Linked DNA regions of Ovis aries. Each later gene encodes a partner of the first gene's protein in a complex. Links are inferred from orthologs where the notes say so. Each region holds a gene or a part of one and is shown on either strand. Other genes may lie near its edges.

Evidence for each region.
Region 2: the proteins of SEC31A (region 1) and PDCD6 are in contact, whole or in part, in a crystal structure (PDB 3WXA), measured with the Homo sapiens proteins. The link is inferred for Ovis aries from reciprocal best matches to the Homo sapiens genes SEC31A and PDCD6. Residues at the interface, in NP_001070675.1 of Homo sapiens: Asn837, Pro838, Pro839, Pro840, Pro841, Gly842, Phe843, Ile844, Met845; in NP_037364.1 of Homo sapiens: Val31, Val35, Leu48, Ala51, Leu52, Ser53, Asn54, Gly55, Thr56, Trp57, Phe85, Trp89, Ile92, Gln96, Phe99, Phe148.

Annotation. Positions count from the first base shown.
Region 1 is NC_056059.1:98,378,462-98,382,020, forward strand, and holds part of SEC31A (protein transport protein Sec31A), read right to left. Parts: intron 3,481-3,559; coding exon 3,304-3,480; intron 900-3,303; coding exon 807-899; intron 136-806; coding exon 9-135; intron 1-8. UniProt on the Homo sapiens protein: Component of the coat protein complex II (COPII) which promotes the formation of transport vesicles from the endoplasmic reticulum (ER).
Region 2 is NC_056069.1:71,839,084-71,843,365, reverse strand, and holds the start of PDCD6 (programmed cell death protein 6), read left to right. Parts: upstream 1-1,461; 5' UTR 1,462-1,521; coding exon 1,522-1,616; intron 1,617-2,370; coding exon 2,371-2,432; intron 2,433-3,023; exon of another isoform or gene 3,024-3,082; intron 3,083-4,282. UniProt on the Homo sapiens protein: Calcium sensor that plays a key role in processes such as endoplasmic reticulum (ER)-Golgi vesicular transport, endosomal biogenesis or membrane repair.

The DNA.
Region 1 (3,559 bases):
CTACTTACGCTGTGGCTGTGGATAAGGTGGTACCTGGGTGTGCATGTGACCTGGAGATGTGGGAAGCTGAGCGGCAGCAACATTCGGACTAACATTTCCATGCATTACGAAGCCTGGAGGTGGAGGATTTTCTCCCTAGGCAATGAGAATATGGTAAAAAGGAAGATTACCTTCAGAACCAAGAATCTTACCAGACGGATTTATAATCTCTGAAATGAAATTTTAAAAAAATCTTATGTAAAAAAAAAGTTACATTCTATGCATACTGATGTTTTCTGAGCAACACATTCTACTTGATTTAAAGATTAGACAGGTCCAAAGTAATAACAGTGATGAATGGCAAGAGATGCTAACAGCCTCATCAAATAGTATCGATGATATTTATAAAAAGTCACTAGGATTTTCCATCTCTACTAAATTCCATCCGTATCTAATGCTTTGGGAAGTAAGTATACATGCCACACGGGAATTTTTTTTTTTCTTCTTTGCAATGCTAAAAACAGGGGGGAAAAAAAGAAAAGAAGAAGAAAAGGAAAGGGAAAAAAATCTTCAGTGAAATTAGATTTAAACCATTGATAGAACCCTGGTTGATGTTTTTTTAGTTCAAGTTGTGCTAAAAACAAAACAAACAAACAAAAACAAACAAACAAAAACACCTGTTTCTTGCCTCCCAAAAGCACTAAAATGCAATAAGCAGACAAACAGATGGGGGTGGGAAACTCAAGGAAGGTGGGTAGAAGATACATAACTACATACATATTCAGGTGAGCAGAACTCTGCTCAAAGAGGGATAATGAAGGATATACCTGTGTGTCAGAGGGAGAGGCTGCAGGTGGATGGCTGGGAAGGGCGGTAGGAGTTTTGTTACTCCAGGTAGTGACAGTGGGGGCAATTCTAACCTGAATTGAACAAAGAAATACCAATCACAGAACATAAAAAAATGAAAATGTTAAAAGAAGAAGAAAAAAAAAAAATCCCTGAAGGCACTAACAGCCAGACGCAAAGCGAGAAAGCAGTGAGGCGGCAGCACACACTAGCCAGGCAACTGGTTTCAGGGCAGCTGGGATTCCAAAAGAAAACACAGTCTGAAGAGGACAGGCAGAGGGAGACAGCAGAAAAATCAATACGAAAACGAAATCAGAGCACAGAGAACAATGCCATTCAAGTGTCAGGAGTACGTGGGGAAAGGTACGTTCTGTAAGTAGGCAAAGAAAGAAGACATTCTGGGGGGTGGAGGTGGGCAGTTATTGAGGAAAAAAGTGATTTTTGAAGCTGTAATTGTATTCATGCTATGATTATATCTGTGGACATATTGCTGCTGTATGCTTCCCTTTTCAGGACTTCATTAGAGCTACAAAAATCATGTTAGTTCTGTATGAGGCTTAGAGTCATACAATCGGAGAATATTAAAGATCATCTCATCTAATTCCCACCATTTACCATGGAGATAAAAACAAGGCCCAGGGAAATGAAGGAGCTGGCTGAGGTCCAGACAACTTGGGGTGATGGAGCTAGAGCTGATTCCACATCTCCTGACTCCCAGCCAGTGTTCACTACACTGCACCGTGTTGCTTATACCCTGGAGTCCAGAGGCTTTCAAAATCAATTTTTAAAGCCATCAAAATAATTTTTGTCAAGTAAATCTTTGTAGAAACTCAATCACATCAACAATTAATAGCCAAGGTGTGCTGGTCGCAGTCAGAACTCCTGATCTGGCTTCCCTTTCATCCTTTTACTCCTGCTTGTAAGCCTGCCTTTAAAACCACAAGCCGGGAGAGAAAGGGCCAGCGCCCAGGCAGCCTGGTGGAGAAGCGAGCGCCGGGAGACCCCGGGGCTGTCGAAAAAAAAAATAATAATAATAAAACCACAAGCCACTGCCCTCATTCAGCACACCATAAGCTTTAATCAAGAAAAACTACTCTTAGTTTATGATTGAACTTGTTTTCCTTTTCTTAAAGTAGCGGACCACTAGGTCAAAGTATAACAAAAGTCTTTTAAGGTTTCCATATTTTCCCTGAAAGAGAGATAAACTCGAGGATTCAGGGAGTAAACTTGTATTCTCCCAAAGAAGATAATGCCTTACTTCAGTGCCCTGAGAGGTTGAACTCAAGGTGCTGAGCTGAGGAGTTCTAATCCTGTTAACTATTACCTAGCTGACAAATTGATGTCTTAAAATCCTGATTAGTGACTGCCTTCTCCACCACCTCTCAGCTTCCCAGCCATCACCTGACGTGCCCTCCCTATGTTACAGGCTTTCTAAGACTAGCAGTGAGAGTGGGGAATTTGTTGTTTTGCCTACCAACATACCCTCAACAGGGAGAATACAGGCAGGCGCTTAATTTGTATTTGTCAAATGAATCAAAAAAAAATCAAAGCAGAGTAGTACAGATAGTTATAATTATATTCAAATGTAACCAATCTTGATTAAGTACCAAGCAAAAGCATAACTGACAAAAAAGCATGAATCTTTTTCAGTTTTTACAGTTTTATGCTTACTTTTGCTACAACAAAATGTAAAAATGACTCCAACAATTCTACTAGCAATCTGTTCTATTTTAAAATGGGCAGAGTACCTGCTAACTTTGTTATAAAATCAAGACTATTTATTACTTCTGAAAATAAATTTTATTTAAGAACATGAAGGTTATCTGGCCTGGAAATACAAGTTTCTACATGGAATAGCAAAAGATAATAAGAGGCCCCATTTTATACCACTAACCATTTGCTAATTTTTATTTAAGAAATAAGTGAGTTAATTAATAAACACTTCGCACTGCCCATGACCTACAACTTCACAAACCTTTGGTCATTCGCTTTTCTCTTTACAAGTTGTTAAAAAAAACAACTTGGATTCTGCATACTCTATTGTGCTGATAATGAAGACACAGAACACCCACACTAGTGACTCAGAAAATATACCTTTAAAAAAGACTATTTTCTAAAAATGTTTTAAAAGAAAGTAACCAAGTCACCCACAAAATTGTTCCCACTTTACTTACAGTTTGTTAGATGAATCAAATTGTAAAAATTTTCAGACGTACATGTGCAATATGTTTGAGTGATGGAGAAATAAGAAATCTCCCTAGCTTAAATTAATTATATCTAATTTATCAATTATTTGACTAGATTAGAGGGATAATTTTAAAAAATGGATCATAAATGCTACTTTCAAGAATAGAAAAACTATAACCATTAAAACAGTATGTTGTCTATAGTTTCATCACAGGCCTTTTCCCCAACAAACTAAAACCACCAATGTGACATCCATAAACGTTCCTACTTAGTCTGGACCGCATCACTCACATGGGGATAATATTGTTGAGCTGGAACTCTTGGCATCTGTGCGTGGCCAGCAACAGGTCCAGGCCTGCTCTTGGGCACTTGATGCCTCTCATAAGGAATTTTGGGTGATTCCTGTTGTCCTGGTATTGGATCTCCTTGTGCTCTACAAAGTCTGTCTCGAAGCTGCACAATATTTGGCTATAAGAAGCAATGGAAGAAAGTCAAGCAAATTATTACAGAGTTCACCCAACTATATATGACATATTGATCTTAAAGT
Region 2 (4,282 bases), on another chromosome or scaffold:
AAACTACAGATCAAAGAGCTGTGGAAAACTGTAGAAAGGATTAGTCAGCAAGTGATGTGAATGCTTTCAGTTTAGTTCAGTCGCTCAGTCATGTCCGACTCTGCGACCCCATGAATCGCAGCAAGCCAGGCCTCCCTGTCCATCACCAATTCCCGGAGTTCACTCAGATTCACGTCCATCGAGTCAGTGAATGCTTTAGGAGGATAAAACTAGAAAGCACTTGAATTCATTAAGTCATGAAAAAAGCCACATTGTTGAGGTTTGTAGAGTAATAATCTGTGTGAGTGCCCAAATCAGAATACTTTAATCTCTTTGAAGAGTTTAAAGAACTCTCCAGCATATGGTCTGGTGGTTAAAGGGGGCTGAGGACAATACAATTGGAGACTAACAACAGGTCAGATGCAGAGCCCTGGAAAATGAAAGTGGAGGTCGCTCAGCCGTGTCCAGCTCTTTGGGACCCCGTGGGCTATCCAGTCCATGGAATTCTCCAGGCCAGAATACTGGAGTGGGTAGCCTTTTCCTTCTCCGGGGGATCTTCCTAACCCAGGGATCAAACCCAGGCCTCTCTCATTGCAGGCGGATTCTTTACTAGCTGAGCTACAAGGGAAGCTCAAGAATACTGGAGTGGGTAGCCTATCCCTTCTCCAGCAGGTCTTCGGGACCCAGGAATCGAACCAGGGTCTTCTGCAGAGCTTTGGAGTGCTGAATAATGAAATCCCTTCAGGAAAGGAAGGATCAGGGGCTTCCCTGGTGCTCGGCCCTTCCACAAGCTAAGCAGGGGAGGAAGATGAACCAAGTCAGCGGGATTGCATCAGCAGCTCAACACTTTTGCGAGCCTGGAAGGCGGTGGGAGAGCCCTGAAGCTGGGCTTCCCTGCGCAGAGGGCGCTGCGGCTCAGTCGAAGTCCGGACGGAGGCGGTGGCGTCTTCAGCTGGCCGGAGGGACACGCTGGCCGCCCACCACGGTCAGCAGGGGACATCAGGGCCTGGTCACGCACGTGCAGACCGAGCTGGGGAGCTCCAGGCCCTGTCAGACGCCGGAGGGGGCGTCGTGTGGTACCGAGAAGAAAGCGGGTGTGGGGAAGGAACGCAGAGAAGCGGGGCAGGGGCCGGGCGAGGAGTCCGGAAAGCACAGGAGTCTGGCGCGTCCTCCGCTCCATCACCGCCCTTCCATGGCCTTCATTTGGTGCAAGGACAGTCCATGCTCGAAGGAACTGCCCCCGCCCTTCACGTCCACTCTGTGCCTCGGGAGAAGCAGCTCCCACGCGCGTCCGTGATCCTGGAGGCCGCGTGGCCTCGGCCAGCGGCTCCGAGCCTCTCGCTGGACCCTGACACGCTGGCCGGACGCGGGGGCGTTGCCTGGCAACGGGGCAGCGACGGGATTGGCCGCGCTCGCTCCCGTGACCGCCCCGGAAGTGGCGCGCCCGGCCTCGCCCTCGCCGAGGCGGAAGTGGAGCCACCTGACGCCGCCCGCTTCCCGGCCGCCCCTCAGCCGCACCTCCGCCCTGCTGCGCCTCGGCCCATGGCCAACTACCCGTACCGCCCGGGCCCCGGCGCCGGCCCTGCCGGGGGCGCCGCGCTGCCGGACCAGAGCTTCCTGTGGAACGTCTTCCAGAGGTGCGGCCAGCCGGGCGGGCGGGCGGGCGCGGGCAGGCCTCCCCTTCCCTCGGTGTCAGCCCCGGGCCTTCCCCGTCCTGCCCCTCCGCCCGCAGTCCAGCCTCCCTCCTGGAGCCCTGGCCCCCCGGCCTGCTCCGTCCCCCGAGCTTTGACCTCCTCTCCGCCCCCGGGCACTTCCGGAGCGCAGAGCGGCCGCCCGGAGGCTCGGCCTCCGTCCTTCTACCCCCAGAGAGGGGCCTTTGCTCGGGGACGAGGGTCTCCCGGGGACGCTTATTCAGTTAGGGGAGCAGAAACGCGGGCTCGCCGTGGCTGCCTCAGCCACCAGGCGGGAAGCCAGGCCCTGGCTGTGCGCAGGGGACCGTCACCGCAGTGTCTTCGGTACCCGGTCGTCCTTCCAGCGAATCGGCGCCCCATGCTAGAGTGATTCAAGGTCAGGGAGTGACTTAGTTGTCTAAGAGAACCTTTTCCTGTTTGTGAAAAGGACAAGATCTGAATGGCATTCAGACAGGGTGTGGGAGAAAGGCTTAAGAGAAACGGAGAAGCAGCTTGGCCTTCAGCAGGGGGACCTCAGACAGTGAAGGAGACAGGCTTGCTTATTCCCCACCCGACTATGGGAGTGAGATAGTCTAGCAGCCAGAGGGAAAAGAGCAGGGAAATTAATTTAGGATTGACAGGAGAGTTAAACCTTGGTTCTGGTCCTGTGTTGCTTTGCCTGCACTTTGAATCACCAGTTTAACTGATCTTAATTTTGTAGGGTTGATAAGGACAGGAGTGGTGTGATATCTGACAACGAGCTTCAGCAAGCACTGTCCAATGGTGAGTGCACCTGGCCGTCTGGACTTGTGAACTGCCCGCCTGACCACCCATAGTGAACATCTTCTTTCCTAATCCCTGGCTTGTGGTGGAGGGCTTCCATCCTGGGCGTCCTGTCGGAGCTGCTCTGGGTCCTTGCGGAGCTGGGTGGGGCAGCTGCATGGAGGTCCCAGGGAAAGCCTGAGAGTTGGAGGCTGGGGTGTGAGCTCCAGGAGCACAGGGAGCCTGGCTTTGTACAGCAGATGGTCCTCCGGTTTATTGAAGGCTGTTGAATTTCTCTGGTGACGGTGTCTTGTGACTTGCGAGGCGGGGCACCAGGGTCCCACTGACGCCGAGGAAGTAACTGGGAATGCCGGTGGCCCTGCAGCCGGGTCTCGGGGCTCAGGCTTTTCAGTGGGTGAGTGCAAGTCATCCAGACAGGGGCAAGAGGGTCCCAGCTCTTTGTGCCAGTTCTGGGGGCACACCTTGGAGTCACCTTTTTGCTGGTCTCAGTGTGATTAATCCATTGACGTGGAGACCTTATTTCAGTGAATACCTGACTGTGTTGCCCTTCTTTTGATTCGTCAGACACCACTGTCTTTTTCTGGTCCTTAGATTTGTGGTGTCTTCCAGAGGGGTGCCATTTAAACCTGAAGAGGGATTGATTTTAAGAGGTAATGACGATGCTGAAAGGCTCACCCTTACCAGCGGGAGCTGGCTGGTGCTGTGGGAGGTGGACGGTGCCTCCCAGGCCTGCGCGTGGACTGGAAGGGAGGTGTGCCCCACTGTGGGTACTCCTCTGCTGCTGTTGGTGAAGGGTTGGTATTAAAATGATCACACAGGTGATACTGTCTCTAGAGGATGTCAGACCTGCCGCCATTTCAGCTGGTTGTTAAAGCAAATGGCTCTGTCGGAACACAGCGTTGAACCAGGAGCCTGCTGGAGACGGAGTGTGTTTAACCCAGCCACTGAGTGTATATCAGGGCCTGCTCTGGTGACCCTGTGGAGTCACATTTCTTGATTTGCCCTGAGGGGTTCCTCGGCTTCTGTTGGGGCTGGGTGAGAGCTTACTGGTAGTCACTGAGCCCAGAGGGAGGTAGGGACTCCCTCCCCCCCCTGCCGTGGCTGCCTCTCTCCTCCCTGGGGGTGTGCTGGTTTTTGTGTGGAGCAGCTTGTGATGGTTGTTTTACCTGTTTTGTGTGTATCTTATAAACTGTGATTTTTTTTTAACCAATCGCATTTTCCTCTTTAAATTAGCTGCTAAAATTTTTAAATTTCTGCCTCACCAGTGCCGCAAGCTGAGAATTTTCAGAGGTGAATTTCACTGATAGTCGGGGACCCCATGCTTTCTTAGGCTTTTGTCCCCCCATCCTGCATAACCAGAGGTTGCTCTGTTTTGCTGTGCTCTGAATATCTTCCTAGATTCAATTAGGCTTTTTCTGCAGGAAGTCTGGTTATGAGTGGGTACCGATCGCTAGTCCTTTCTCAGCCCCAGAACAGAGGTAGGTGGCACACTGGAATCAGGATGTGTGCCCGCATAGCTAGGCACTCCCCCACACCTGGTGCCGTCCCACCCGCCTCCTCCCGTTGGCCACCTGAAGGCACAGGCTGGCTGTGGCTCTGCTCCTCCTGCCAGGGTGCCCACCATTCCTCCGGGGCTGAGCGGCTCCTGTCTCTGCACTCATGGCCCCTCCCTTTTCTTGGGTGCTGCCTGTCTCCTCCTCTCGCTCTGCTGGGGTCGTCTCTGCAGCTGCGTCTGGCTCCTGGGCCTCAGCGTCCTGGAGGAAGTTCGAGCCGGTCTCCTGTTTCCAGTTGTGCTGTGTGTCCCGGCCTCAGTCCCTGAGGATGGACACGAGTCAGTTCTCTTCCTGCTC